4 linked regions of the Saccharomyces cerevisiae S288C genome follow. Changing the gene in region 3 together with the main gene of any one other region gives a genetic interaction. Each region holds a gene or a part of one and is shown on either strand. Other genes may lie near its edges. The genes, in order: UBP3, RPA14, THP2 and SET3.

Region 1 (9,552 bases), on a different chromosome or scaffold from region 3:
ATTGCTTAGTCAAGAAATTGTGTGCCAGTTGCAAATCACTAAATGCCGTTTCTAGTTCTTCTAATTTTTTAGAGGAGTCTTCCTCTTGAATTGCAGCGGCGTTAGGCGAAATAGGTGGTGATGACGTATTTTTTTCTAGACTGACGCAGGTATCCAAGATAGAATTTATCCCATTTTTCAAGAACTTCACAGGGTCATCTAATGGTATTGGCTTGATATCAATGCCTTTCTGAATGGAGTTTGACATCAAGAAGGACGTTAATTCTTGAAGTATTTCATTTTTATCGTCATCAGCTTTGTCAGTATGGTAAGCACCCTTGTTAAATTTATCTGTGCCACCCATATTAGTGGAAGACCTCGCTCTTTTAGAATTTGGGAAACTGTTGTTGTTTTCCTTCGTAAGCTGGTCTATCCCTGTAGTGTTAATGGATTCAAGGATCCTCAGCATCATTTCATACCAATCCGCAGACTTCGGCTGCAGCTTCAGCAACTCATTGAGTGTGGGATTTAGATCATCAGAGTTCAAGTGCTCTTTTTGAACGTAGTATAGGGCGAACTCAGACACTAGCTTTTTGTCAAGGTCTATTTCTGACTCGTCATTTTTACTTCTATACAGAAGATAGTCAAAATAGTCAATGGAAGTGTATGGTCTACTATTGTGATGCGGATGTGACGGATTTTGGGAGAGAAGGTACTGTTTCAATTCATCGTATTTCAATGGATACTCTTCGTATCGTTCTGCACTAAAAAGCAAAGGGTTCGCTCTTCTCGAGAGCTCTAGATCAAATTTATGCATATGAAACGTGATATCCACCGTTATTCTCCCTCTCGAACACAGGACTTCGATAGTATCTTTTGTAATCTGTTCAGCTCAACTATTTGTTACCATACCATCATCATCACTTTACACATACTCATCATGTGTTTATTGACGCGAGCGCGACTTGCAAGAAAAGGCATAATTGTGGCGAGGTAATGAAAAATTTTTGACGTTTCCCTCATTCATTCATACATAACATTTTGGGATTTTGGAACAAGGCGAGAGGAGAACGTCTTTGGACCACTGTAATAGTACACAATGCAAGATATTTTAAGTTTATGCTAAAAATCCAGAAGTGACGCTTCATCAACGGTGTCAATATGGACCGAATTTTAGTGTATCTTCAATTGTAACCGTGAGGAGTAGACTCTTTGAATACGGGGGAAGAAGAAATATCATATTCAAAGCTAATTCATTGAAATTAGTGCTTGTCTCATCTAGCCTTTAGTGCTTAATCTCTGGAGGAGCACATATGGGGTTAAAGCCATGCCGGGACTGGGGGCCCCTATCGGGGCTCGAACCCGAATCCCGCGAGTATTTATTTGAAGGTCCGGGACGCAAGTTACCTAATCTGGTTAATTGATATCCCATTTAGGCGATGACGTTCCTTCCCCTCACCCCTCGGCTTGTTAGAAGATCTATTGTTATAGCCTCCTCTGGAAGAATTTATGCCAGATGAAGAAAAAAACTTCTCGAAGTTCCCAGATGCCCAAATGAGGGCTTTCCATCCCTGTTAGCTGGAAAAGTGTAAGTATATCTATATAAAAAGTCGGCCTACTTTTGCCAGGTTCGTCTTTCACTTGCACTCTCTTGATCTTACTTTCTACTCAAAAAGAATCCAATACACAAAAATAAAATCAGTACTATTACTAATAATGTTGTCTAACGCTAAGCTCCTTCTATCATTGGCCATGGCCTCTACGGCTCTCGGATTGGTATCTAATTCTAGTTCCTCTGTAATCGTGGTACCATCAAGCGATGCTACTATTGCCGGTAACGATACAGCCACGCCAGCACCAGAGCCATCATCCGCCGCTCCAATATTCTACAACTCGACTGCTACTGCAACACAGTACGAAGTTGTCAGTGAATTCACTACTTACTGCCCAGAACCAACGACTTTCGTAACGAATGGCGCTACATTCACTGTTACTGCCCCAACTACGTTAACAATTACCAACTGTCCTTGCACTATCGAGAAGCCTACTTCAGAAACATCGGTTTCTTCTACACATGATGTGGAGACAAATTCTAATGCTGCTAACGCAAGAGCAATCCCAGGAGCCCTAGGTTTGGCTGGTGCAGTTATGATGCTTTTATGATCGAATAGTCTTTAACTAGAGACTTATTTTAAACAGGACATGTGTTTTTTACTAATATTGTATTCTTCGATGTAGTCGTTATAGTTCTTTTTCTTCAAATCATTTAAATAAAGAAACTATTTTTTCTTTTTGTGTGTAGAATAATAAATGTAATTCTAGTTCTTCCTTTTTTTTTTTGGCTTTTTCACAGCTCATCTTTTTTACCCATTTGGTCATGATTATGTTGTTTGCCGTTGTGCAATAGGGAGTTTGTAAATCCTGAGATAAAGTATGGTGCTTCGAGGTTAGCACTTAATTGGCGTAAGCTGCTTAATGACAAAACCCTCCTTGGGCTTGGCGTATACGAAATATGCTCCTGCGAAGCGCAGTGGCAATATTGAGCACTATGTTAACGATAACGTGTTGGACTCATCGTCTGTGCACATATGATTGAAATCGGGAATCCTCTGCTTTTTTTAGGTAAAATCAAACTTTGGCTAAATTTGGATGATTACTTAAAGTAAGAAATGAATCTTAAGAGATGTATGAGTTTTGTGATAATTGTTGTGATTCCATTGTTGCCAAAGGCCATAATATTTTGAAATTCACATTCCTTCTACAAGGTATTTGTTTCTTAAATGTTCATCTCCAAGAAATAATTGGTTTCGTGGTCTAGTCGGTTATGGCATCTGCTTAACACGCAGAACGTCCCCAGTTCGATCCTGGGCGAAATCATTTTTTAAATATGCCAAGCATAAAGTGTAACTCTGTTTCTCTGTCTGTCTCTATTTCTTTTTTAAAATCGTGCTCACTATCGTATTGTATTGTATTGTATTGTATTATTGCTATATTATTTTTTATGTATTTTGTCTATAATACCACCCCCCGTCTTAATTTCTCTTTTGATACATTAAAATATAGGCAGTCCTCGAATCAGAAGCTTCTTCGCCACCTTTCAAAACGTCATCGTCCTCTAGTTCGGTAATATTTACATCATCTATTCTATACCATTTGTTGTGCTCGCTATGATAAACATCCGCTGTGTAATGACCGCCATCGGAACTTACCCCATGATGGTATATAACTCCGGTTAGCTTATATCTTCTATCATCAATCCCTGAGGTGTTGTTTTTCAATGTTATGGAAGACATTGATTCTTCAGGTATGATTAACTCGTGACCATATTTAATTTTTTTCCTGATCTTCTCAATACGTCCATTGTACGCGTTATAGTTCGTCATTGCGTTGTCTTTGTTCACATTATTTATGAATGAGAATCTTTTGAATTGGATTAAAAGAACTTGCGGCAATTTATCAATAAAAGTCTGCTTCTTGGCCTCGACATCATTCCCTGACGAGGACTTAAAGGGTAGCAATTCGTATTCACTAAATTTTTTGAATGCAGTTTCTAGATCATTCACACCAGCATCTGAAATGTCCAATTGAATTGTTTGGAACGGATCGAGTGTAATCGATTGAGATTCCTTATTGTTCGGTATATCTAACACAGATCTGAACTGGCCACCGAAAAGTTTGGAGATTGGTGATGGAACAATCTCGACAGTCCTCTTGGCAGCGGTCTTAGTTTTCTTGCCTCTTTTGCTAGATCCGCTCACTTCATGCCAACCATTTTCTTCGGTAGAGTCATCATTGATCACGCCATATTTTTCTATCAACTCCTTCAGTCTAGGACTAGCATTTTTGATAAACTCTGCTTTTCCATAACGTGACAAATTTCTAATAAAGAAAACTTTCAATTGTTCATCATTAATACTTTGCAGCATATTTTGAATTTCATTATCGGTTAAGCCATCAATTGCAGAAATTAATTCCTCGTGTAATTGGTCCAATAAGTGGGTCAAAAATTCTTCTGCGTCTTCCTGATGGCCCCATTGCAAGTCTTTGAACTTCGGTATAGTAGACAAAGTTTTGTAAAATTCGTCAGGTTTGACAGCATCGGCAGTGGCGCAGTGTTGGAAACTCTTGGATTTTGATGATTTTTTTGCATCACTTTCCGTGGTTTTTTCAGCATCATCAGCATTCTCTAGGAATTTTTTCTCATAGGTTTCCTTATCGAATTGCTTATACATAGTCAAACAAGCATCTAATAATTTACAGGATGATGTGCCGACTCTTGAATTGGTATTCCGTGTACTGAGAACGTTAATTACATCAATAAATGGCTTACAGTAGAGTAACACTTGTAACACAGAACTCATAAAACAAATGTTGGCTCTGTTAATTATGCCTCTTGGAATAATGGAATGGACTGGTATTTTGTTTTCAACATCTTTATTCCGTAAAACGTAACTAATGAAATCGGGATCAAAACACATTCTTAACGCAATCGAACCCAGTGGCTCAATACCCTTTGTAGAAGGTGGAACGTATTTTTTATCCTTTTTCTGAGGCTGCTTGGACAACAGGGGAGAGCTGGATTTACCTATAGTCGCCGCAGCCATGTTTGTTGATGAAACGCCTGCGGTCGTACCAGAAATTGGTGTTTTAGTGACCATCGATCCGGAGACTGTTTTGTTACTAGCTTGTCTACTTTTAATCGCATCTGATGCTATGGCGGACCAGGATTTTGCTGCTGGAGGAGATGGTGAAGGTGAAGATGTCTTGGAAGTATTTTCTTCAACAGATTCCTCTGGTTCCTTCTTATCCACTACAGGTAAAACAGTAGCTTGAGGTTCCTGTATAACTTTTTCGTTACGGTCTTGCTTAGCATCCTCTTTCTTTACTTCAGTTTTCTTTTTAAGCTCGTGCGCATCTTTGCTCGCATGTGGTTTTTTATCATGAGCATCTTCTTCTTCCCCATGTGTTTCTGTCTTTACTTCCTCATTATGCTTTGGTATACTATGGCTTTTTGTGTGATGATGGGCAGAGCTCTTTTCTACAGATGAGTTCTCTAAGCTTTCAGAGTTTAGGTTCAAAGCCTTCATGTTTAATTCGTACCTTTGGACACTTGCCGCAGCAAATTCTGCTTCCGTAGTGTTTATGAACAGTGGCAATTGAATCAAGTTTGATGAATTTTCCTTGAGATTCTTTAATTTAGTGACATCAAACTTGTATAAATCATACTGTGAAGAAGAGTTGTAGGAAGAGTACGATGGTGAAGTAGCCGAAGAACCGTTGCCGTTGGAAGAGTTGGTCTGTTTTTTCATGCCCGCATTGCTGCCACTGTTTGGAGAGGCCATCATGGGGATATGATTGTTAGAGTAATTGTGATGGTAGGTGTGGGATTTGTTGTAGCTCATGCCGCTACCGCTAGAGTTGGCGCCTTGATTACCGCTGCTTCCATTGTTATTGGTAATGCCATTAGAGTGCCACTTCTTCTTGTTAATGTTGTTGTTATTGGTAGTGCTTCCGCCGTTAATATTGTTTTGCGGAGGCAAGTGATGTGGGCTGCCACTTTGATGGTAGATTGGCTGGTTTTGGTTGACCATATTAAACGAATAGGCAGGTATTTGTGTGGGGTATAGATATGGGGCCTGAGTGTAGCCGTACATCTGCAAAGGCGCTTGATAAATAGGAATCTGCATATTGGTTGGCGTAGGTGGTGGTGGAGAAGAGGTTTTCGGGTACATCGAGTACGACTCTTCTTTGTTAGCGTCTTGCATGTTCATTTTTTTTAATGATGATGGAAAGGAAAGCGGTACCTGGATGATGGTAGCAGACGAGTCTGACTTACTATTAAAATGACTTTCTTCTCTAGAAACACTTCTCTTCCCTTTCGCTTTTTCGCTGCTTGTTTGTTTTATCACATTATATTTTTTTCCTTCTTTTTCTTTTTCTTCCTTGCCTTTGCCCGTAGAAAAATTACCCTCTTATTACCGTTCACCTATATACGTATTCCTTCTACATAGTTATGTTATTGGTGATCGCATGAGATTTGCAAACAGCACCAAACAGCTCAATGCCCCTGTCGATATCATCAACTTCTAAGAAACTAATAGAAAGCCTAAAGCATGACTGACCCCAGTTTTTCTCATCGCCGATGACCTCGAAATTGGAGCCGTCGGCAAGGATGACATTAAATTTCTTGGCAAGAATAGTGGATATCTCCATGGCATTGTACGCTGGTGGGAGAGTGATCCAAGTAAAATAGCCGCCCTTCAATGGCATAATCTCGGTTCCTAGGGGCATGTATTTCTTAAGCGCCGAGGTCAAGACAGTGGCCCTCTCGGAGTATACGGATCTCAGATGTGCAATGCATCTCTGGGCGGCACCACTACGCAGCATCTCACCCACGATCATGGAGTTCAGTTGTGAGGGAGTTCCGCCAGAGACGTTTGCACCACCTTTAGATAGCTGTCTGGCGAGATTCGCGTTGATTGACTCATGGTATCCAAATCTGAGCCCAGGGGCGATCAGCTTGGAGAAAGTTGCGTTGGACACTGTATTCCCGAACGAGTCCTCACCGGAGGGCGCTGTACTTCTGTCTATGTGCACCATCCTTAGGGGCGGAGAGGGCAGCTCATCTGAGGGCGTCGTGTAATCTAGAATATCGTACACGTCATCAGTGATTATCAGCATGTCGTACTTCCGAGCGATGTCGATAAGTCTGCGTCTGGTCTCAAGCGAGTATGTGTTTCCCGATGGGTTTGCAAACGTCGGGATGCAGTACATAACGTACCTGTAGACCTTCTTGGTCAACTTTGGCCCCTGAATCATCTCTGTGGTACTATGGGGCTGCGGCTCCGCCTCGTGCTGCTCAAGGGCAGAAATCAACGACTCGAAATCAATCGAGTCGTGGCCCTGCTCGTTGATGGCGGTCATTTTCCCCTTGAATCCCGCATCTGTGAAGCAATTGTTGATCAAGAAATATGTTGGCGTGATGATGAACGCCTGCCTGGTATACCCGTTATGTGGCAAGGTTGTTTGCAGAAGGATGTTCAGCATGCCATACGAAGCGCCGCTATTCAGATTCAAATAGTCTGCCCGTGTCCTGCTCCGAGCCCCATTTTCGAACTTAAACAGCTGATCATTCAGAAACGTACAAATCTGCTCTCGCACCCACAGGGCACCTTCGTCCGAACCGTACGTCAGCGGATGCCTGTTATAGGGGTCGTTATCGTACTCCCTGGTCTCGGGCCCCAATATAGCCGCAGTCGCTTGAATTACTGCTTCTCGAGGCAGCAACCTCGAGCTCGGATGGCCCTTGAAGAAATTGATTTCCTTGTATTTCATTACCGCTTGCTAGCACGCGTTGTTCCTTGTTACAGCGATGCTCCACCCAGATTTATGTGTTGATTTCAAATCCTCTTCTCTTTATCACTAGTTCGGCATCCAGCAGCGGCAGCCCGCGATAACTTTGACGGAACTCCGCCAGCACACGTCGCGCCTGCGCTGGGCCGGGAACATGCCAAAGGACACCAGCCAGTAGTAGCGGTAGTGACCATTCGTTCTTTATCACTAGGGGCTGTCGTCCAAACAACGCCAGGGCAGCTGCTTGCTCATCTTGCTGCATCAATGCTATGCCCATAGCCTTGGTCATTTGCGGGAAGTCGCGCAGCCTTAATGGCGGCTGCCCTGGTAGCGTATCCATCTCCTGCAAGAATACCTTCCACTTTTCCCTGAGCGCCGTGGAGTGCATTGTGCCACGCGCAAACGCTTCGACTTTAATCCGTCTAAGCTCATACTCAATCAGTTCATCTTCTGGGCTGGTGCGACGATCGCGATTCATCGCCTGGTAGTGCTGGAGGAACTGCGCGGGTAAGAAGAGCCTGTCCTGGTACAATGCTACGCCAGCCATTTCACATAGCAGGCGGCCCTCTACTGGCAACCGGCGTGGCATCACATGCTGATACCACATGTATGCTATAGTGTCGGCATGGGCAAGCGCAGCGGCTCGCGCTAGCATCGTGTGCAGCAGCTCCACATCCACGCTGGTCTGCTGCTGCTGACGCAGCAGCGCCAGTGCATCGGACATTTTCCCGTTTAAACTGCTTAACAGTATTCGCGACCGCACATCGGTGGTCACCAGTCTTTTCGTGATAGTCAACATGACGTGTTCCGTTCTTATGTTCGAGCTAATGCCTCGTCTGCTCTTCCACGTTCAGATGTTCCCTTGATTGCTCAAAACACTCTCAGCAGGCCGAGATTTCGATTTTAGCCAGCAGTACGGAAGTAATCCGAGCCATGAAAAATTTAACCAGTGGCTCGCCCTCTATACGTATCTGTTCACGTACAAGCGGAGCCACAGAATAACCTCCCCGACGATGTTCAAACTCACCTCTCGACTCGTCACGTCAAGGTTTGCTGCCTCTTCCAGACTGGCCACCGCTCGAACCATAGTATTGCCCCGGCCCCATCCGTCATGGATCTCTTTTCAGGCCAAAAGATTTAATTCGACGGGCCCAAATGCCAACGATGTCTCGGAAATCCAAACCCAGTTGCCTTCCATCGATGAATTAACCTCTTCAGCTCCTTCTCTTTCCGCTTCTACTTCGGACCTTATCGCTAACACGACCCAAACAGTGGGCGAGTTGTCCTCCCATATAGGGTACTTAAATAGCATTGGCCTGGCCCAAACCTGGTACTGGCCCTCGGACATTATCCAACACGTCTTGGAGGCCGTTCATGTTTACTCTGGGTTGCCTTGGTGGGGAACTATCGCGGCCACCACCATCCTCATTCGATGCCTGATGTTTCCCCTCTATGTCAAGTCCTCTGATACTGTTGCTAGAAATTCCCATATCAAGCCCGAGCTGGACGCCTTGAATAATAAGCTAATGTCCACTACAGATTTGCAACAAGGTCAGCTAGTCGCCATGCAAAGGAAAAAACTGCTCTCCTCGCACGGCATTAAGAACAGATGGCTGGCCGCACCCATGCTACAAATTCCAATCGCCCTTGGGTTTTTCAACGCATTGAGACACATGGCTAACTACCCAGTAGATGGGTTCGCTAATCAAGGTGTCGCTTGGTTTACAGACTTGACTCAAGCAGACCCTTACTTAGGTTTGCAAGTAATCACTGCCGCTGTGTTCATCTCATTTACAAGGCTGGGGGGTGAGACTGGTGCTCAACAATTCAGTTCTCCCATGAAGCGTCTTTTCACTATTCTACCGATCATTTCTATACCGGCCACAATGAACTTATCGTCCGCTGTGGTCCTCTACTTTGCCTTTAATGGTGCCTTCTCCGTCCTACAGACAATGATTTTGAGAAACAAATGGGTTCGTTCGAAACTGAAGATAACAGAAGTAGCTAAACCAAGGACTCCTATCGCTGGCGCTTCCCCCACAGAGAACATGGGCATCTTCCAATCATTAAAACATAACATTCAAAAGGCAAGAGATCAGGCGGAAAGAAGGCAATTGATGCAAGATAATGAGAAGAAGTTACAAGAAAGCTTCAAGGAGAAGAGGCAGAATTCCAAAATCAAAATTGTTCACAAATCAAACTTCATTAATAACAAAAAAT
Region 2 (7,201 bases), on a different chromosome or scaffold from region 3:
GGTGATTTGCCAACAACAGAATGAAACGTTGACCAACGGAACCAGTAGCACCCAAAACACCAGCAATTTTCTTTCCAGCCATTTTAGAACGCTTTATTTCTACAATTTAATTTGTATGTGTACTTAAGTGAAAACAAGAAAAACAAGATTTAATTTTATACTCGAAAGTGAATGAACAAATAAATATGGTTCTTTTATTTATTTTTTCTGCTTTTCTATTTTTCTCTAACATTTTGAACTGGTAGTAGTCAGAGGAAAATGAGTCAATCAATGCTTGACAACATGATTTGGAAAAAAAAAAAGTGTGAAAAAAAAGAAAACCGGGTACTTTGAGGCCGCTGCCGGTGATATTTGGATCTGGAAAGAAAGAGAAAAAAAAGCACTGAAGACGTTCAGATGTCAGAATTCTAACTGATATGCATATATTGTAGTATACAGAAGGCGTATGTGAATGGATATGTAGGATTTTGTGTAAAAGGGCAAGGCTGCTGCTACAGGTCTCACTCATCGGCGAATGTAGTTTTCTTGCCGCCGGTGGCACTAACACCTATGCTTGTCTCCTTCTTCTCCGTCGTGGAGACCTGAATGGGCGCGGCGGAAAAGTCTTGGGCGGGTGGCAGACCCTTGAAGTCTCTCTGAATCCTCTTTAATTGCGATATGGAGCTGGAAAGGTTGGTGTCGATGTTGAGGCTGGTGTTAGCCACAGCGGCAGCGTCCGCGTCAGCGGCGTTGCCGCTGATGGTATTCATGGTAGTACTATCAATAATGTTCTCCTTCTCATCGATAAAGCTCTCCAGAAATTGAAGAACCTCGTCAGTAGAGACATGTTGGGGCAGCTGCGTGGCATGAATGACCACAGGCGTGTTTAGCGTGGTAGCAGTGTTATTACCTGTTCTTCTAGAACCTTTCATCATCTTGTATTATCGAAATCTTACCTCAGACGTCTCCAGTTCTGCTCTGCCTTACCGATGAGACCTCTATAATCAATGTGATTTAAACATATGCATCATCTTGAAGTAAGCTCGAAATGAAAAATTTTACACCCGCAATATGCTTACCCGTCGCTGTTAGATGTTACCCGCCTTTCGCCCCTTAGGGGTTTCCACCGCCCCCCTCGTCCTCTACGGTATTTTCTGGGGCGCCCAGCCCGCCACGTCCCGCCTCGTCTCGAATTTCTTCCTCTGCTAGACGGGCTTCCACGCGCTTCCACTCATTTCTGTCTCTGGTAATGGCCGTGGCCCTTCTCACTTTGGTTGGGCTTACGCTGACAAGTGTCTGTTCGATTCCCTGTATAAATATAAACGTATTCTCTTGAGCCTTCTATCCTTTTGCCACTGTCGTCATCATTTGTTCCTCCTTTTTCGCTAGATAGGTTATATTAAGATTTGTCTTGAATTTAATATCTCAACTCAATCCAAACTCAACCGCTAATACTACCATGTCCCAAGTCTATTTTGATGTCGAAGCTGATGGCCAACCAATTGGCCGTGTCGTTTTCAAGTTGTACAACGACATAGTCCCAAAGACTGCAGAAAACTTCAGAGCTCTATGTACCGGTGAAAAGGGATTCGGCTACGCTGGCTCTCCATTCCACAGAGTTATTCCAGACTTCATGTTGCAAGGTGGTGACTTCACTGCTGGTAACGGTACCGGCGGTAAGTCTATCTACGGTGGCAAATTCCCAGATGAAAACTTCAAGAAGCACCACGACAGACCAGGTTTGTTGTCCATGGCCAACGCCGGTCCAAACACCAACGGTTCTCAATTCTTCATCACCACCGTTCCATGCCCATGGTTGGACGGTAAGCATGTTGTCTTTGGTGAAGTTGTTGACGGTTACGACATCGTTAAGAAGGTTGAGTCCTTGGGTTCTCCTTCCGGTGCCACCAAGGCTAGAATTGTTGTTGCCAAGTCCGGTGAATTATAACCGCTCTGCCTGGAACAATACAGCAAAAATTGAAACGAACTATTCTCTCTTAAATTATATGTATATGTATAAGGTATGTGTATGTATGACAATCAATTCTTATAACTAACTCTTCCTACCTATATCGGAGTATGTTGCCAGGCTTGCCAACTAGCCAACTACCGCCTAGGTTATGCCTGTTAAGTTGACGCCGCCGGGTACCGCCCCCTGTTTTTCCCACGTTTCTTTCTTTCCTCTAGGTAACGGATTTTCGGCTTATTTTCCACAGCGAGAAAATTTTCTTTCTCCTGCACTTTTTTTCATATTCAGGTCCTTTGATCCATTCATTCATTCTTGTTTTAATTTCAATCTAGATTTTAGTTTTCGGTTGAATTTATCTTTAGTTTTTTATCAATAAGAATTGGTCTAGCTTATCTTTCCAGGCTGCTTATAGTTTACTTTTTTTAAAAAATTATATTTCTATCCAATATACAAATCGGAAGGGAAATTCATATACACAAATTAAACGTTCCAATTGCATAAATACCAACACCATACAAAATGGACTCATTATCAAAAAAGATTCAAAATTTAGGTATCCATGATATTAGAAATGCCGCAAGGTTTGCCCAAAACGTGATAGTCCAATATGAGCCTTATCAGATAGATATCCGTCGTGCTACAAATACCGATGCTTGGGGCCCCACACCGAAGCACCTCGCCAAGGTTTTAAGGAACAGATACCAAGTGCCGCTCTACTTGATGACAGAATACACGTTGAAAAGATTAGTCGACCATATCGCTACCAGGCCCAAGAACCTATACGAAAAGGCAAGAAAGGACTACGTTAATTATGGGTCCGAATGGAGGGTGGTCTTAAAATGTCTAGTAGTCATTGAATTCCTATTATTGAACGTCGACACAGGTGACGAACTGAATCAGATTAGATCATGTTTGCTCACTCATAAGCATATTTTAACCAGGGAGATTGCCCAATTCAAGGTAAAATTCTCCAATGATGGTAAAATGGAGATTCATGAGAGAGGTATTAGGAAAAAGGGAGAACTTATCTTGCAATACTTGGAAGACTCACAATTTTTGAAAAAGGAAAGAGCCAAGAATAAGAAGAATGCCTTGAAAATTCGACAGCAAGGAGAATCCTCCATTTATAATGCCAACCAGATTTCAACGTCTGCAAGTTACGATAACATCGACGACGATGAATTTGATGCAGATGCAGATGGCTTTGACAGTGAAATGGATGCTAATAATGTGACCAACTTCAATGTTCCTGTGGAAACAGAAGCAAATTCGAATACTCGCAGGCGTTCTCATATGGAAGAACAAAGAAGACAAAGAAGGGAGATATTAAGAGAGCAGATCAAAAATAAAGAACAGCAGAGGAAAAGAAAGCAACAACAAGATAGCATCCCTGACTTAATCGATCTTGACGATAGTACTAGCACCACGAATAATATAACAATAGACAATGGTAATAATGACAACAAAAACAATAATATCAACAGCAATAGTGATGATGATGATGATGAGTTTGGCGACTTCCAAAGCGAAACGAGTCCCGACACAACAGCACCTAAAACTTCCAATAGTAAAATAGATGATTTGCTTGACTGGGATGGCCCAAAGTCAGACACAGATACCACCGCTGCTGCGCAAACATCATTGCCCTTTGCGGAGAAAAAACAGCAAAAAGCCCGTCCTCAGGCTACAAAGGACAAGTCGAAGGGAAATGATGCATTTTCCGACTTATTCTCTTACTCCAAGTCGTTGGTCTAATCACCAAATACCCCTTCATCTCCCAATACATTCAATACAGTCAACAAATTTTCATTCTCAGATATATGTATCCATATATACACTAATAATATCTTACTAAAAACTTGTCTATTTCCTTCTTCAAATGTCAGTTTTCTTTTTATTGAATATCAAAAAAATATTATATAGATACATTTGTATATGTCATTATCCATGCAGAAGAAAATACTTAAATACTTAAGTACACAAGTATTTATTGATTTGCTATTTCGGTCTTGGCAAGTCCCTTGGCTACGTCATCTACACTCGCGTCATCCTCTTCCATATACTCGTCGCCTGTGCCCACCACGCCTTGTTCAAACATTTGCTTACCGGTTAGCTTCCCATGATGAGCCTTCATCCTTCTCACCTGGTCTCTTTCATCCAGTTTCAGTTCTTGGCGAAATTTAGACCTCCATTCCAAGTACGATTCTCTTGTGACTTTAGTACCATGGAACTTGGCCTGTTCCTTCTTTTCACGTTCTTGTGCTTCCAGCTCGTACTGCTTCTCGAGCTTATTCAATTGTTCACTATACCATTGCTCACATCTTTCTTTTATGGATGAAATCAATGCAAAACACATTTGCATACCCAATAACATATCGGTTTCGATTTGCGATTCTAATTGTACGGTTAATTCAGGCAAGTACCCCTTAAAGCTTATTAAATCTGGCAGGTTTTCAAACTTTTTCAGTACTTTATTACCATGGTCGTCATATTCAACCTCGTCTTCATCTTCCTCGTTATCTTCTTCGTTGTCATTGAGGGCTACTTCTTGAGCTTCCAATGAAATCAGGCATGGTTCGTCAGGGTAGTTTTCTGGTAACTTGAATTCGGCGATTATAGTGTGCTCTTTGGTTAAAACAGAAGTAGAATCACCTGTATCCAGCTCTAATTTAATGGCTACTTCAAATTTAATCTTTGGGTATTCATCGTTTATGATCCTCAGTTCATCAGGATAAATGGACTCTAAAACTTCTAGTTCCTGCTTCTGTTCTTCCTTATAATCCATAGTATTAACAAGTGCCTTCTGGATATGGAGGGAGGGCTTTTCCTTAAATTATACCAACCGACAGCATGGGAAACTCAGCTCTTTAAAGCCAATCTAACGATGCCTGCTGATTTTACAATTGGAAAATAGAAAATTTTCATTTTCCACCTTCTGTTACCCGAGTTTATAGACCTAGGATTTCCAATCATTACTTATTAGGACATTCGGGAAAAATATACATATATGGCCCACTTCTCTCACATCTCTTTTAGGGTCTGTGCCAATGGCACCCAAATTTTTCTTCTTTCTTTTTCGCTCGTATTCTCTCACGCTCTTGATCAGTGTGAGCAGTTACTAATATACTGGATCAGAGAACATTAACTCAAAGGTTGATAGTGTAGATCATTGGACATAGTGTGACGGTTTTGCACTCTTGTTGCGCTTGCTCTCTTAACAAGTCACATCTTATTTAGCCTCTTCACCCATAAGTTGATTGTAAAGCCGTAGAACCCTATATCACAGTCTCTTCGGCAACTCAACCAATAAGAACTATTAAGGATTAACACTAGCCATGATGCCGAATGTTGCTCCAAACAGCTACTATTTAAACATACCGAATGCCAATTCGACCTCAACGACTACGTCCTCGATCTTTTCTGATCTCAACAAGGAGTACGAGTCAAAGATTAAAGAAATCGAAGAATATTATATAAAGACACTGCTCAATGAAAATACCGATAATGATGACAGCAGCAGCTCCGAGGGGCATAATATAAATGAAACGGACATTTTAAGTGAATACTCACCAAGGCCTTCTCCTTGGTTACCATCCAAACCAAACTGTTATCATCCGTTGGGAGATTTTAAAGACTTGATCATATCAGATTCCAGACCTACAAATACATTACCTATTAATAACCCTTTCGCAGGCAATAATAACATCTCAACACTTGCTACAACTGAGAAAAAACGTAAGAAAAGGTCACTCGAAGTTGAGATTAACCCTACTTACACGACAAGTGCATTTTCATTACCCCTGACAGCGGAGAATTTACAAAAACTATCTCAGGTGGATTCTCAGTCTACTGGACTTCCATACACACTTCCAATTCAGAAAACAACAAAACTGGAACCTTGTAGAAGGGCACCTTTGCAGCTTCCTCAATTAGTCAATAAGACCTTATACAAAACTGAGCTCTGTGAATCTTTTACTATTAAAGGCTATTGTAAGTATGGAAATAAATGCCAATTTGCTCATGGTCTTAATGAACTGAAATTCAAGAAAAAATCAAACAATTATAGAACTAAACCTTGCATAAATTGGTCGAAGTTAGGCTACTGTCCGTACGGTAAGCGTTGCTGTTTCAAACACGGTGATGATAAGGACGTTGAAATATATCAAAATGCTAACGATGGAAGAAGTAAGGATACGGCGTTGACTCCACTTCCTACTTCCCTAGCCCCAAGCAACAACGATAATATCACTAATTTGAGTAAGCCTAGGAACTTACATACTAGTGTTAAAGCATTGCAAAGGATGACTTGGTAGTCGGTCAACAACAAAGCCCTTTGAATATTTGGCGTATTTCTGCTGCCTCTCCTTATTTATTTATTCATTATCGTTTTCATATTTATTTCAGTCACAAAACAAAATTAAAGAATTCGTGACCTACTAACATGAGAATTAGTTAATTTAATCTTTTTAGTTTATTTATTTCATTAGGTAGAATTTTTTTTTCTTTCTCTGATCTTTCAGTGTTACTCATCGGTGGCAAACGTGTTTACAGGACTAAAAATCGAAATAATGATTATTATTGTTCTTAATTTACTTAGAGTTATTTAGTTTTTTTAACTATCGTAAATTGCCAAATGATCGGCTTTGTGGTACTCTATGTCTTAGAGACCTTGTAGATACGGACCTTCTCGATGCGCTAAGTCTTTTACTGGAGCTCTTTGTATTTTCGCCGGGCAATGGGAAAATCTTTCCTGAATACATATTATCTGTTGGATCATCAGCGATGTCCTCTAAACTTATCCCTTGCATGTTCCTTTGAAGTAAATAACGTAATGAATTATACCAAATATTGTGTCTTTGCCTTGTAGGACAAGTAAACTTAATAGTCCTAGTTTCTGTGGTAACAACAATACTTTTGTGATACAATCCTGTTGGATATGGGTTTGGGTCTGTGACACTTTCTACTCCTAGAATGGCAACACCTTTTGTTTTGGTATTGGCAGGATTCTCTAGGATGGGATTAGAAGCGGACCAGTACAAAGTTAAGGTATATGGATGAACCCAGAAGAATCTTTCATGACGTGATTCGAATCCAAAAGGTCCCAAGCGTGGATAATACTTAAACAAATATTCCCCAATGACGGTTTGGGTTAACGCGGGTATTATGCTTGGTTCGTTCAATGATGCTAAAGTTTGTAAAGATGCCGTCCTACTGGCAGATCCTGCACGTGACATAAATGATGCTACTATATCT
Region 3 (3,164 bases):
TGCTTATTATACCGTTGTAGATAGTTGACAGAAGTGACTTCGCCCAGAGGAACATTAATGTGTCTTGTGTAACTGACATCATGGTCGGACTTTTTCTGTTCTGGGTGAGTTATAGGTCTTAGGGTTTCTAGCCATTGTTCATTGTCAGCCGCTCTTGGTGCATTATCAGGAACTTTCGTCGAATATACTCTTGGTAAAAATCTTTCAAGCCGTAATTCTCTTTTGAAAACGCTAGACCAAGCTATCGACATATCTAGATGCTCTGGCCGAGGACTGATTCTTGATGATATTCTCAGTACGTACACATCCTATTAAACGCTAAATAAACCAGCATGTTTTTTCCTTCAGTACTATTTCGGGGAAGTGAAAATAATAGATAGAACAAATAAAATATTAAAAAGCTCTTTAAAAAATAATACAATTTTTCTCTTTCTTCCCTCCCACTCAACAAGTATGTATAACTCTATCTAACTTGTGCAGGCTGGTTAAATAAAATGTGCTTATTCTAAAACTATGTCACCTTCTTTATCTACAGGATAGCTTTCCGATGGAGCATTTATTTCAGACTTTAATGAATCTATCTTCTGGATCATTTTTTTCATAGAATGTGCATCATCACCGAACATAAGCATTTCTATATCGTCCCATTCTTTTCGCCAATGGTTTAGTTCCTTTGTCAAAGTAGAGAGTCTTTCCTTTAAGGAATACTTATTCTCTAAACCAAATTTGGCACGTGCCATTTTGATCTGATCTAGATAGTTCTTGATTTGAGCGTCTACACCACGTATATCAGTATCAGGCGCACAGTACTGCTCGAGAATACCCTGAAGTTTCTCAGATGGAACCCATTTATCCATTTCATACACTGTCACTGATGGATCAGACACTTCCACCTGCTTTGCTAAATCAACAGAAAGTCGCTTCAGTAAATTTATGTACCTTAAAGTATCCCTATTCAAATGTTCGAAAGTAGAATAGTACTCGCTAATACTCTTAGGATTCTGTACTCCCGCTGCAACGTCCCTTCCAGTTTTTGTATCCTCCAAAAGCTGTGCTTCTCTTGTTTGATATTTATCGTATCGCAGGCGGATGGAACTATTTATCAGCTCCCTGTGTAAATCAGGCAACTTCTTGAGGGATTCAGTAAGCAGATCATCAGATGATCTAGGGTCTGCCAATACTGATAATATATCTAAAATATTTAATAAGTGGGTTTGGCTTTCCTGCAAACTTTGTTCCTCCTCGCAGAGAGATTCAAAATACGTACGACCTTCTTCCTTTGTCATGCTATGAACTTGATAACTTGAGCAGTGTAAACCTGATAAACTAGTCGCTGTTGTTTCTTACTGTAAGATACTGCACTTCTGCAGCTTCTTAAGTATTCTACTTACCAAGTTTCTATTATTTTTCAATGCGCGTACATAAAAAGCACTTCGGGTAAAACAAACACTTCATAATAGCAGACCAAGTACTGCGGTACTCACATCAAATTAAGAGGAAGAAGGGAGTATTAGCGAGCGGAAAACTGAAATCTGGATATATACTGATCAGAATCAGATTGTGAAGCATTTAGAACCATGAATGACGACAGCCAGGATAAAATAATACATGATATACGTATTCAGCTACGAAAGGCTGCCACAGAATTATCACGATGGAAGCTATACGGCTCCTCAAAGTGGGCAGCAGAGGCGCTAGCAGGTCTTGCAGAAGCTATTGATGTTGATCAAACACACTCTTTAGCCGATGAATCGCCACTAAGAAATAAACAAGGTGTACCGAAACAGATGTTTGAAATACCACAAAACGGGTTTGGCCTATCAGAGACTGAGTATGACCTGTACCTCCTTGGTTCTACGTTGTTTGATGCTAAAGAGTTTGATCGATGCGTTTTTTTTCTAAAAGATGTCACTAATCCATACCTTAAGTTCTTAAAATTATACAGTAAATTTCTATCGTGGGATAAGAAAAGCCAGGAAAGTATGGAAAATATCTTAACTACAGGGAAGTTTACGGACGAAATGTACAGAGCTAACAAAGATGGGGATGGTAGTGGGAATGAGGATATAAATCAAAGTGGGCACCAACGCGCCAATTTAAAAATGGTCAGCAATGAGCATGAGTCACAATCGAACATATCATCTATTTTGAAGGAAATTAACACATTTCTGGAGTCTTATGAAATAAAGATAGACGATGATGAGGCCGATTTAGGGTTAGCACTGTTGTATTATTTACGAGGGGTCATCTTAAAGCAAGAGAAGAATATTTCTAAGGCAATGTCGTCATTCTTGAAATCTCTGAGTTGCTACTCCTTTAACTGGTCCTGCTGGCTGGAGTTAATGGACTGTTTACAAAAGGTTGACGATGCATTGCTTTTAAATAATTATCTATATCAAAATTTCCAATTCAAATTTTCTGAAAATCTTGGTAGTCAACGAACGATAGAATTTAATATAATGATCAAATTTTTCAAGCTAAAAGTGTTTGAGGAGCTTAATGGCCAGTTAGAGGACTACTTTGAAGATTTAGAGTTTTTGTTACAAGTTTTCCCCAATTTCACTTTTTTAAAGGCTTACAATGCTACTATTAGTTACAACAATTTGGATTATGTTACCGCAGAAAGCCGATTTGATGACATCGTTAAACAAGATCCGTACCGTCTCAACGATTTGGAAACCTACTCCAATATTCTATACGTCATGCAGAAGAATTCAAAATTAGCCTATTTGGCGCAATTCGTCTCCCAAATAGATAGATTTAGACCGGAAACATGTTGTATCATAGCGAACTATTACAGTGCCCGACAGGAACATGAAAAATCTATCATGTATTTCCGTCGAGCACTAACTTTGGATAAAAAAACAACAAACGCATGGACTTTGATGGGTCACGAATTTGTTGAACTAAGCAATTCACATGCCGCAATAGAATGCTATCGTCGGGCCGTAGATATATGCCCTCGAGACTTCAAAGCATGGTTTGGTTTGGGCCAGGCTTATGCTCTCCTGGACATGCATTTATATTCTCTTTACTACTTCCAGAAAGCTTGCACTTTGAAACCTTGGGATCGTCGGATTTGGCAAGTATTGGGAGAATGTTATAGTAAGACGGGAAATAAGGTAGAAGCTATAAAATGCTACAAAAGATCCATAAAAGCTTCA
Region 4 (9,025 bases), on a different chromosome or scaffold from region 3:
ATAGCGCTAAAAAGCCAGAGATTATTGAAGGTGTAAACGATCATCCTATTTTGATAGAAAGAGACAGAAAGGATAAAAAGGAGGACGCTGAAGAAGGAGGCGACTCAGAAGAAACTACAAATGATAGCGATCATGACTCTGGGGACGAAAGAAGTGTTGATTCTGAAGAGACAAGCATTACTTTGCCACCGGAATCTGAGGAACAAGTGGAGACTAGAAGGGCAAGGATAGCTGCTGAAATTTTATCGGCTGATGTATGGCCTATATCCGCAGCAATAATGCAAAATAAGGATCTTCTTGGTAGATTGTGGTCGATACTAGATCACCCAGCTCCCTTACCGATACCAGCTTCCACCTACTTCATGAAAATAAATGAAAGACTTCTCGATATGGATATAACGGGGATGTTAGAGTTTATATTAAGCCGAGACAGCTTGGTTGCAAGGTTCTTGACACATGTTGACAATCCGTCTTTGATGGACTTCCTTTTGAAAGTTATCTCGACGGATAAACCTGACTCTCCCACGGGTGTCATAAAGATACTAAAATCACAGGAATTAATACCTAAACTTTTAGATCATCTTAATCCAGAATACGGTATTTCCACTCAGTCTGCGGCAGGCGATTTTATTAAGGCATTCGTCACGTTAAGCACTAACTCAAGCAATGAACTTGCTTCGGGAATAGGTCCTAATGAATTGACAAGGCAATTAGTATCAGAAGAAATGATAGAAAAGTTGATTAAGATAATGCTAAAGGGCGGTACATCCTTAAGTAATGGTGTTGGAATTATCATAGAGTTGATCAGGAAGAATAACTCAGATTATGATTTCATCCAACTAGTCTACACTACCCTAGAAAGTCACCCTCCCACTGATCGAGATCCAATTCACTTGATACATTTAGTCAAACTTTTTGCTAAGCATATGCCTGATTTTGCTGATATGCTGGATAAAACCAAGTTGCCACTAATGGAAATGCCATTCGGTAATATTGAACCTCTGGGATTTGAGAGGTTTAAAATCTGTGAACTTATTGCAGAACTATTGCACTGTTCTAATATGACGCTGCTAAATGAGCCCAATGGTGAGATGATTGCCCAAGAACGTGATATAGAAAGGGCCAAAGAATTAGAAACTTCAACCGAAAAGGAAAATATAACAGCTATTGTGGACAATAAATCATCATATTATGATAAGGATTGCGTAGAGAAGGATATCACAGAAAATTTAGGCGCTCTTCAAATAAATAATCAAGGAAGTGAAGAAGATGAATTAAATGATACTGGGGTATCAAGTGTAAAACTAGATGTGAAATCAGACGCAAAGGTAGTTGAGGGGCTAGAAAATGATGCTTCTGGAGTAGAGTTGTATGATGAAACCTTGTCTGACACAGAATCCGTGAGAGAATGCCTAAGGGAAAAACCGCTAGTTGGAGACAGGCTGAAGATTGCTCTAGAAGACACTAAGATACTGATTAGTATCCTTGATATGTTCACTGAGTTCCCTTGGAATAATTTTTTGCATAATGTAATTTTTGATATTGCCCAGCAAATATTCAATGGTCCCCTCAAAACTGGTTATAATAGGTTCCTCTTGAAAGATTATTTGGTTGATGCATACCTAACTAAAAAGATAGTAGATGCGGATAAGGCATGTCAAGACTATGAAAAAAAGACCGGTTTACGTTATGGTTATATGGGTCATTTGACATTAGTTGCCGAAGAAATATCGAAGTTCAAAGAGTATATTGATGAAATGAAGCTAACTTTTTGCAATACCGCTGTTTCAGATCGACTTGAGGAACCATTTTGGAAAGAATATAGTGAAACGATCTTGGCTGATACAAGAGAGAAGTATAACACCGTTTTGGGAGATTTTGGCAATGACCAAGAAAGCGATGACGATGTTATTAGGAATTCTGATTCTGAGGATATAATTGGTGATACAGAGGGCAACGAAAACTACGGAAATGGAGAAAACGATGAACTTCTTAGTAACGGGCATGATTCTGGGAACATGGATTTATATTATAACTTCAATAATAACGAGAATGAAGAAAATGAAGAAGATTACGCAGAGTATAGTGATGTGGATAATAAAAATTACTATAATAACGTCGAGACTAACGACGATGATTATGATAGTGATGATGGTAAATCCAAAAGTGCCGAATCAGAGTTTACCGATAAAATATCTGAACATAGGGATGGCAATAGTCTCTATAATGAGGACAATGATGAAAACGGGAGTGACAAATGGACATCGGGTACTTCATTGTTCCCTCCAGACCATTTTCCTAGTAGGTCACAACCTTCAGATCCTAAACTGCAAGACCAGAATATTTTTCACCATCAGTTTGACTTTGAAGGTGTTGGCGATGACGATGACTATATGGATCCTAATGATGATGGCCAGTCATATGCCAGACCTGGTAATCCATTGTATACTACCCCGAAAACACCACCAAGACCGAAGACTATTCTTTTCAATTCTTTATCCGCATTGGATAATAATGGCGAAGACGAAGAAGTGGCACTAGGCACCAGTGTTGATGATCGAATGGATAACGAGATATCAAGCGATGAAGAAGACTCCGAAGATGAAGATGAAGAGAATGATATGGGCAATGAGGAGGGCTACTCATTATATAGGTCAAGAAGTAAAGAAGCTTTCTGAACTAAAACATTCACATTGTCACATTTTCACCCTTTATTCATCAATTTTTTATTGCTCCACTTTTTTCGCATATAGGTCATTTATAATTCATCAAATATATACTTTTTTAATTGAGGCTTGTAATTTAATATTAACCGAATATAATCTTATAAAGAATAATGAATATTCACTTTTGAATATACTTAAGTTTATATAGGTGTAAGAAGGAAATGTCCATGTTTATTTCAGTAGTTTTTTTCTGTAATCCGCAAAGCTTAATTTCTTTTTCGAATGCAGTTGTGAGGACGAAAAATCTGATAAGTGCATTATACTTTCTGGAGTGGATTCTCGCCTTGAATTAACCGAAGCTTCTGTCATGATTTCTTTTGTTTTTGCTTGACTGTGTTGTGCTTCCTTTGACAGTTCTTTATTGAAATTTGAAAGAGAAGGGGTTCTACTTAATTTATGTTCATTCTTTGATTGACTCTCTTCGACATCGTTTGCAGTTTGCCTTGACGTCTTGTTTATTGGTAAAAGAACTGGAATTGGTAATTCTTCAATATTGGTAATGTGTGATTCGTCATAATCTGTGCTCTTCGTAATTATTAAAGGTTTTTCTGAAGTTTCATTTTTTTTGGGAACAGAAATATTAGAAGAATGTTGTGCAAATAAGGCGAATTTGAAGGGTTTTGCAATATCATCAGGATTATTTGTACTATCAATAGTATTCTTTTGAGGAATTTTTGGACCATTATTTCGATTAAGGAATTTTTGTCGATAAAAATTATTCAAAAGTATTGGAGCTCTTTCTATAGTATTTTGAGCCTTTTCTTCTAGCCTATGCAAAATTGGTGGCTCACGTCTCTTTTTGCAATTATATTGGTTGAGAATTTCATTTAATTTATATCTGTTGTTCATTTTTCCTCTGGATTTCACAGATTTATAAAGACTTTGCGCGTATCTCTTCACTTTCAATAAATAACAATCTTTAGAATTATTTCCACAGCCGCATTCGCCGTTACTCAAAATTGTTTCTACCGAATTTATCAGCCCATACCTTTCAAGGTCATCTAAAGAGTCTATTGTCATGCCCTTTATTAATTTTAATATAGGATGTTTTGAATCCCACTGCCATTTGATGTATAACTCCTCATCCTCTGAAATATCTCTCAAAGCTCTTAAAACAAATTTTATTCTACTTGATTTTCTTCCACTGCTTTTGTCATTCCTATTGTCTGTATCTTGCAGTTTTATAGTTACTAATTCAACATTCGGCTGGCAACTTCTTCTCAAATACCTAGTTGAATTGCCTGATAAGCGTGCATCTATATATATCGGCCAATGGGAATGGAAAATGACCCTTCTTTTAGCTGTACCCCATATCCTGTAATGGTTTCGTGGGTCAGTGAGATAATTTTTATAGAAGTCCAATTCGCCTAAAATTTCTTGAATGAAATCACCTTTTATGCAGTCCTTTTTGAGATAAACTCCTAATTTCGTGAAGCCTGGGTAAGTCCTGGAATATGCAATGTCAGCATACGGTTTGACTTCAATTGACACAGATTTAAAGGTCTTATGAGGATATTGTATGACCCAATTATCATCCATATGTTTATTTAAGAACGGTTCGATCAGATCACTTTTAAACACATTGTCTTTCAAGGGCAAGTATATTGCACCATATGCGTCTTTTGCACTCAGGAAATGCTCTTTTTTCTTGGGCATAGAAGTCAATCCATCGGAAGAATTGACAGAAGCGCTTTCGTTTTTGGAGTCTATACTATTATTTGATGGGTTTCTTTTCCTTCTTTTGTCCCTGTGGTTAGTATTGTCCTGATCCGTTGAAAAGCTATCGCCAACGTCACTAATAGTTGTACTCGATGCTCTGTCCCGACCGTTATTCTTATTACTAGCACTATTGTTTGATGAAGAAGGTTCTACTGTTTTTACGTTTATGCGTTCCTGCTGTATTTTCCTAGCCAAGTTAATGTCTACCTCTCTTGGATCACATGAGTTGCAAAGGTAATCATCAGGTGCCATCCCAATATCTTTGATGCCATAGCAAATAGCATGCTGCCATCTGTTGCAGTGGTCACATTGGATAGTGAATCCATCATCATCATTTAAATCACATATACATGTAATTATACCCGCGTCAGGATCGACTATATACGAATCAGGTACCGGCCATTGAGGTTGCTTTTGAGGTTGATTTTCGGTCTCTTCTTTTGCTGCCGTGGATGTTGCTGCTTCTGCCGCCGATTGCTCAGTAGCTTTCTTTAAAGGTAAAGAAACTGTGGATGCTGTAGCCAGTGCTGCTGCTGCCATTTCTATTGCTCCTTTTTTTTCTCTCTCATGAGACTCATCATGCTCAATAGTATCTGTTTTAGAGCCTATTTTTGAAGCTTCTTCAGCTCTTTTTTTCCCTTTTGAAAACAATAACAATGTGGATGCATCATCTAGGAGCGACTGCTCTTTGGAATTAGGTACTGACATGATTCAGTTCTCGTATTTTGTGAAGTACGATCTAAAACTGTTGTATATACGCTTTAAATCATGTTTACTAGAAAGGTCCTTTATTACTACTTTCTGTATATAGCATGTCGTTGATAATGATATGCATCTATCATGACATAGTAAGATGAATGAGTTGGTTGAACAATTTCCAGGGAAACAAAGGACTAGTTTCATGTCTTTAATGTTTTTTTACGAATAATATACCATGCTATAAAAGTATTATAATAAAAGGTATCGACTACCTGTAATCTAGAATGATAATTTCATACAACGATCACTTCCAACGGTTAAATAATTACCAATAGACCTTACTAGAATATTAAACTTAACAGGTTTAAATTTTGTTGAAATAACTGCAAAAAGCCAGAAAGAAACAGATTTGCACTATAATTTTTCGATTGCCACTACTTAGTCAACGGATTTATCAATGTCATATTTGCCGACTTATTCCAACGACTTGCCAGCAGGCCCGCAAGGCCAGAGGAGGCGTAATAATGGTAATGAAAACGATGCAAGACAAGGCTACGGTCAGCAATCTGTGCCGATGGTAATCAGGAGGCTTTTCAAAACGCCAAAGAATTTAGATCTCGAGACAGCCAGCTGGGAAATGTTCCATTTGATTTTCCATCCAAGAAAAGCTTATAGATCAATATATTATCAGCGACAGACGAAAAATCAGTGGGCGAGAGATGATCCTTCCTTTTTCATCTTCCAAATAGCCTTAATTTCACTCAGTTCTATTATTTGGTCGATTTATAATTCAGGTTTCAACAACGACAGTGATATGGGGGCCTTGAGCATTATAGGTCATTTTTTCAAAAGTTTGGTAATGATGGTGATTTTAGATTTTTTCATATTTGGATTTATTATGGCAACTATTTTTTACCTTTTGTTGAATAGGTCACATTTTAAATTCAAATCGAGCCAAAATAGTGTGGTAGAGTGGGCTTATTGTTTCGACGTTCATTGTAATTCATTTTTAATCATCCTACTGTGCCTATACTTCATTCAGTTTTTACTACTGCCCATAATTAATTTACAAAACTGGATTTCCTTACTCATTGGTAATTCGTTATATTGTTTTGCTATTGGCCATTACTTTATTTTAACCTTTTATGGATACAACCAGTTGCCATTCTTGAAAAATTTGAACTTTATACTTTTACCAACATTAGGATTATCGATAATCTATTTAATCAGTTTATTTGGCATCGACTTATCCAAGAAATTAAGCTTTTACAATTATTAAGCAATTGAACACGGAAATAGAAAAAATTTGGTTCTTTAAGATAAAGCACATAAATTACATAATGATATTATTATTATATATATTTGAAGTATAAAAATGCAATGAGTAATAAGAGCAATAATGACACTATGGACCAAAAGAATGCATAATGAAAACTGTTTATGTATCAGCGTCGAATGCTTATAACAGATAAAAGGAAAATACAGGTAATGGTGTGTTCCTGGTCGTTTTTATATTCCCTTAATTGTAGATTTCCATTGGAGAAAGTCTATCCGAGTTAAAAATCCAATTTCTACTCTCAACTTCTTTAGCTAACCATTCGGTTGGGAAAATGACCAAATGACCGTGGATCCTTTCCAAGATTCTCTGCGCCGTATGTTTGTCAAAAACCTTTTGATTGAATCCATAAAGCAAACTACCGGATAACTTCATTCTCAATTCAGCGGCTTTTCTCATTTTTTCCTTTTCCCTATCCTTATCTACAACATTTGTAGTAGTAGAATTAATATTTTCAGCCTCTAAGTCAATCAACTTTTCCTGGTTTATTTGAAATTCTTGTTCTAATTCAGTAAATTCTCCATATTCTTTCCAATTTTGTACAGCATTATCGGGTTGACAATGAAACACTAATTTATAGAGTAATGTATTTCTCAAGGCTATAGTGAACCATAGCCCTTCAGAAAACGAAGAAATAAGAGGATCCTCGAAGGAATACGGGTCAATGAAGTTGAGTTTCAATAACTCTTCTTTTTTTGCGTCATCAATTTCACCACTGTTAAAGTTAGTGATCTTAGGAATTATCTGAGAAAGTAGATCGTCCAGTGAACCATCATCTAGTTCTTGATTTTTCAAAATATCTTCGTGCAATCTATGATATTCATCGCCTTCGATATCTTGGTCGACATTAGTGCTTTCTCCTTCATTGCTCTTTTCGTTTAATGGCAGACTATTAGACCCATTTCTGGTACTTTCTGTGCTTGAACTTAAATGTCTTCTCATATCTTTGATTTTCTTCAATCTCTGTGTTTTTCTTTCGTCGAGTTTATGAGATAAATATTGCAAGTAGCATATCCTTTTGAGCATACTCCATTTGTTTCTATTGGTAACAGTTTTATCCGTGAGATACATTTCTAGATCTTTCTCATTGGGCAAATAATTTGAAAATCCTTCTGGAATTTCTGATTTTATCATTTCTTTATCGTCAAGAACTTTCGAGGCCAATGAGTTCAATGCCCACTCCTTTAGCTGTTCAGTTGCATCGGCCTTGAATTTTTTGTTGGATTCCTTTTTCCAACAATCGGGACCGTAGCCATCAACCTCTTTTTTATGTTCATCATTCTTTCTTAATCTTGGATCAGTACTTAAGACTTTGTGGTCTCGTATACCGACATTTTCAATTCCTGCCCTGTGGTTGAATGTTAGCCCTAAAGATGCAAAATTATGTTTGGGCAGAGGCGTTCTCTTACGTGATGATTTACCGTAGTCCACAGAATTGAAGAATTTTTCATAAACGTTTTCATCTTCTCTTCCCACTTCTTTTTCATTTATGCCACACTGAGTGCTTCCATCATCAACACTGTTTCCATGACCACTCTTCCATTGAGGGCTAAATTTACAACCAAATATTTCACGATAACCTAGCTCAATCATAGCGGAATCGATCATTTCTCGATCGCTCCAATTGTTACCACTATCTCCCTCCTTACTTAGGGTATGAAGTTTTTCATAATTCTTTGCAGCAAACTTTTCAAACCTTTCAAATTTCTTTTCAACAAACTCAACAAGATCTACATCACAACCTAAATGTTCCCTCATTAATCGCTGCCTTAATTCCCAAGGAAATTTTCCCGCGTAGTAATCGTCACCATTCATTTTGGTCTTTATCAAGTCGGTGTCTCTAATAAGAATTGCCACCTCACTATCTCTATTACCCAGTTGTGATCTTTCGTTAATATTAGCAGACCCTATAATACATCTTCTGTCATCAGCAATCAGAATTTTAGCATGAACGTAGAGCTGCTCGGTGATTAATCTTTCATTAGGCGCAAAAGTCGACCATTTTCTTAGTGAAAAGAACTGAATATATTGAGCTGGGTCAATATTTAGTTTCTTCAGTTTACTAAATGTAGAATGTTCACCTCTTGAAATTGATTGATATTGGAATTGCATAATTAAACGAAGACTTGAGGCTTCTGCAGTATCTACTGGAGAATCGAATCCTGGCATTAGTGGGATAAGAATAAAGGCTTTCCAAGGTTTTTTCTCCTGATTAGCTTTGACTATCCTATCAACGAGAGCATCACCAATTTTATTCAAAACGCAAGTCCCGTTCCAGACAGTTGATGTAATGAAGAATTGATTCTCAATATAAATAAAGTGTTCACTTTGTTCAATTAACTTCAGGTAAGCATTTTGAATTGAGCATTCCGTTTCCTTTAGCCCAAGAGACCAGTTCCCAGCACTTCTAAGTATTTGAGTTTCACAAGTCGATTTTTCGCGTAGAATTTCGAACATCGGCAAACTCTTCAATTCTTCAGCAGTTAAATCTGAAGGCGGGGTTAGTAATGGAGTTAACCTACTAGGTCTCTTAGCTCTCAATAAG

The links.
Region 1: mutations in THP2 (region 3) and UBP3 together harm fitness more than expected from each alone (negative genetic interaction), as found in Saccharomyces cerevisiae (5 studies listed by BioGRID).
Region 2: mutations in THP2 (region 3) and RPA14 together harm fitness more than expected from each alone (negative genetic interaction), as found in Saccharomyces cerevisiae (6 studies listed by BioGRID).
Region 4: mutations in THP2 (region 3) and SET3 together harm fitness more than expected from each alone (negative genetic interaction), as found in Saccharomyces cerevisiae (7 studies listed by BioGRID, with this or other methods).

Annotation. Positions count from the first base shown.
Region 1 is NC_001137.3:466,675-476,226, forward strand, and holds UBP3 (mRNA-binding ubiquitin-specific protease UBP3), read right to left. Parts: upstream 5,751-9,552; coding exon 3,012-5,750; downstream 1-3,011. Other genes in the region: PEA2 (Pea2p), read right to left, coding at 1-796; SPI1 (Spi1p), read left to right, coding at 1,696-2,142; YER152C (2-aminoadipate transaminase), read right to left, coding at 5,983-7,314; PET122 (Pet122p), read right to left, coding at 7,367-8,131; membrane insertase OXA1, read left to right, coding at 8,346-9,552. UniProt on the Saccharomyces cerevisiae protein: Has an ATP-independent isopeptidase activity, cleaving at the C-terminus of the ubiquitin moiety in natural or engineered linear fusion proteins, irrespective of their size or the presence of an N-terminal extension to ubiquitin.
Region 2 is NC_001136.10:763,238-770,438, reverse strand, and holds RPA14 (DNA-directed RNA polymerase I subunit RPA14), read right to left. Parts: upstream 915-7,201; coding exon 501-914; downstream 1-500. Other genes in the region: HOM2 (aspartate-semialdehyde dehydrogenase), read right to left, coding at 1-82; YDR157W (uncharacterized protein), read right to left, coding at 107-508; peptidylprolyl isomerase CPR1, read left to right, coding at 1,439-1,927; ENT5 (Ent5p), read left to right, coding at 2,468-3,703; GIR2 (Gir2p), read right to left, coding at 3,936-4,733; putative mRNA-binding protein CTH1, read left to right, coding at 5,284-6,261; NUM1 (Num1p), read right to left, coding at 6,565-7,201. UniProt on the Saccharomyces cerevisiae protein: DNA-dependent RNA polymerases catalyze the transcription of DNA into RNA using the four ribonucleoside triphosphates as substrates. Component of RNA polymerase I (Pol I) which synthesizes ribosomal RNA precursors.
Region 3 is NC_001140.6:437,464-440,627, reverse strand, and holds THP2 (Thp2p), read right to left. Parts: upstream 1,287-3,164; coding exon 501-1,286; downstream 1-500. Other genes in the region: putative GTPase MTG2, read right to left, coding at 1-251; anaphase promoting complex subunit CDC23, read left to right, coding at 1,578-3,164. UniProt on the Saccharomyces cerevisiae protein: Component the THO subcomplex of the TREX complex, which operates in coupling transcription elongation to mRNA export. The THO complex is recruited to transcribed genes and moves along the gene with the elongating polymerase during transcription.
Region 4 is NC_001143.9:494,681-503,705, forward strand, and holds SET3 (histone-binding protein SET3), read right to left. Parts: upstream 5,154-9,025; coding exon 2,898-5,153; downstream 1-2,897. Other genes in the region: SAP190 (Sap190p), read left to right, coding at 1-2,678; GMH1 (Gmh1p), read left to right, coding at 5,602-6,423; SPO14 (phospholipase D), read right to left, coding at 6,664-9,025.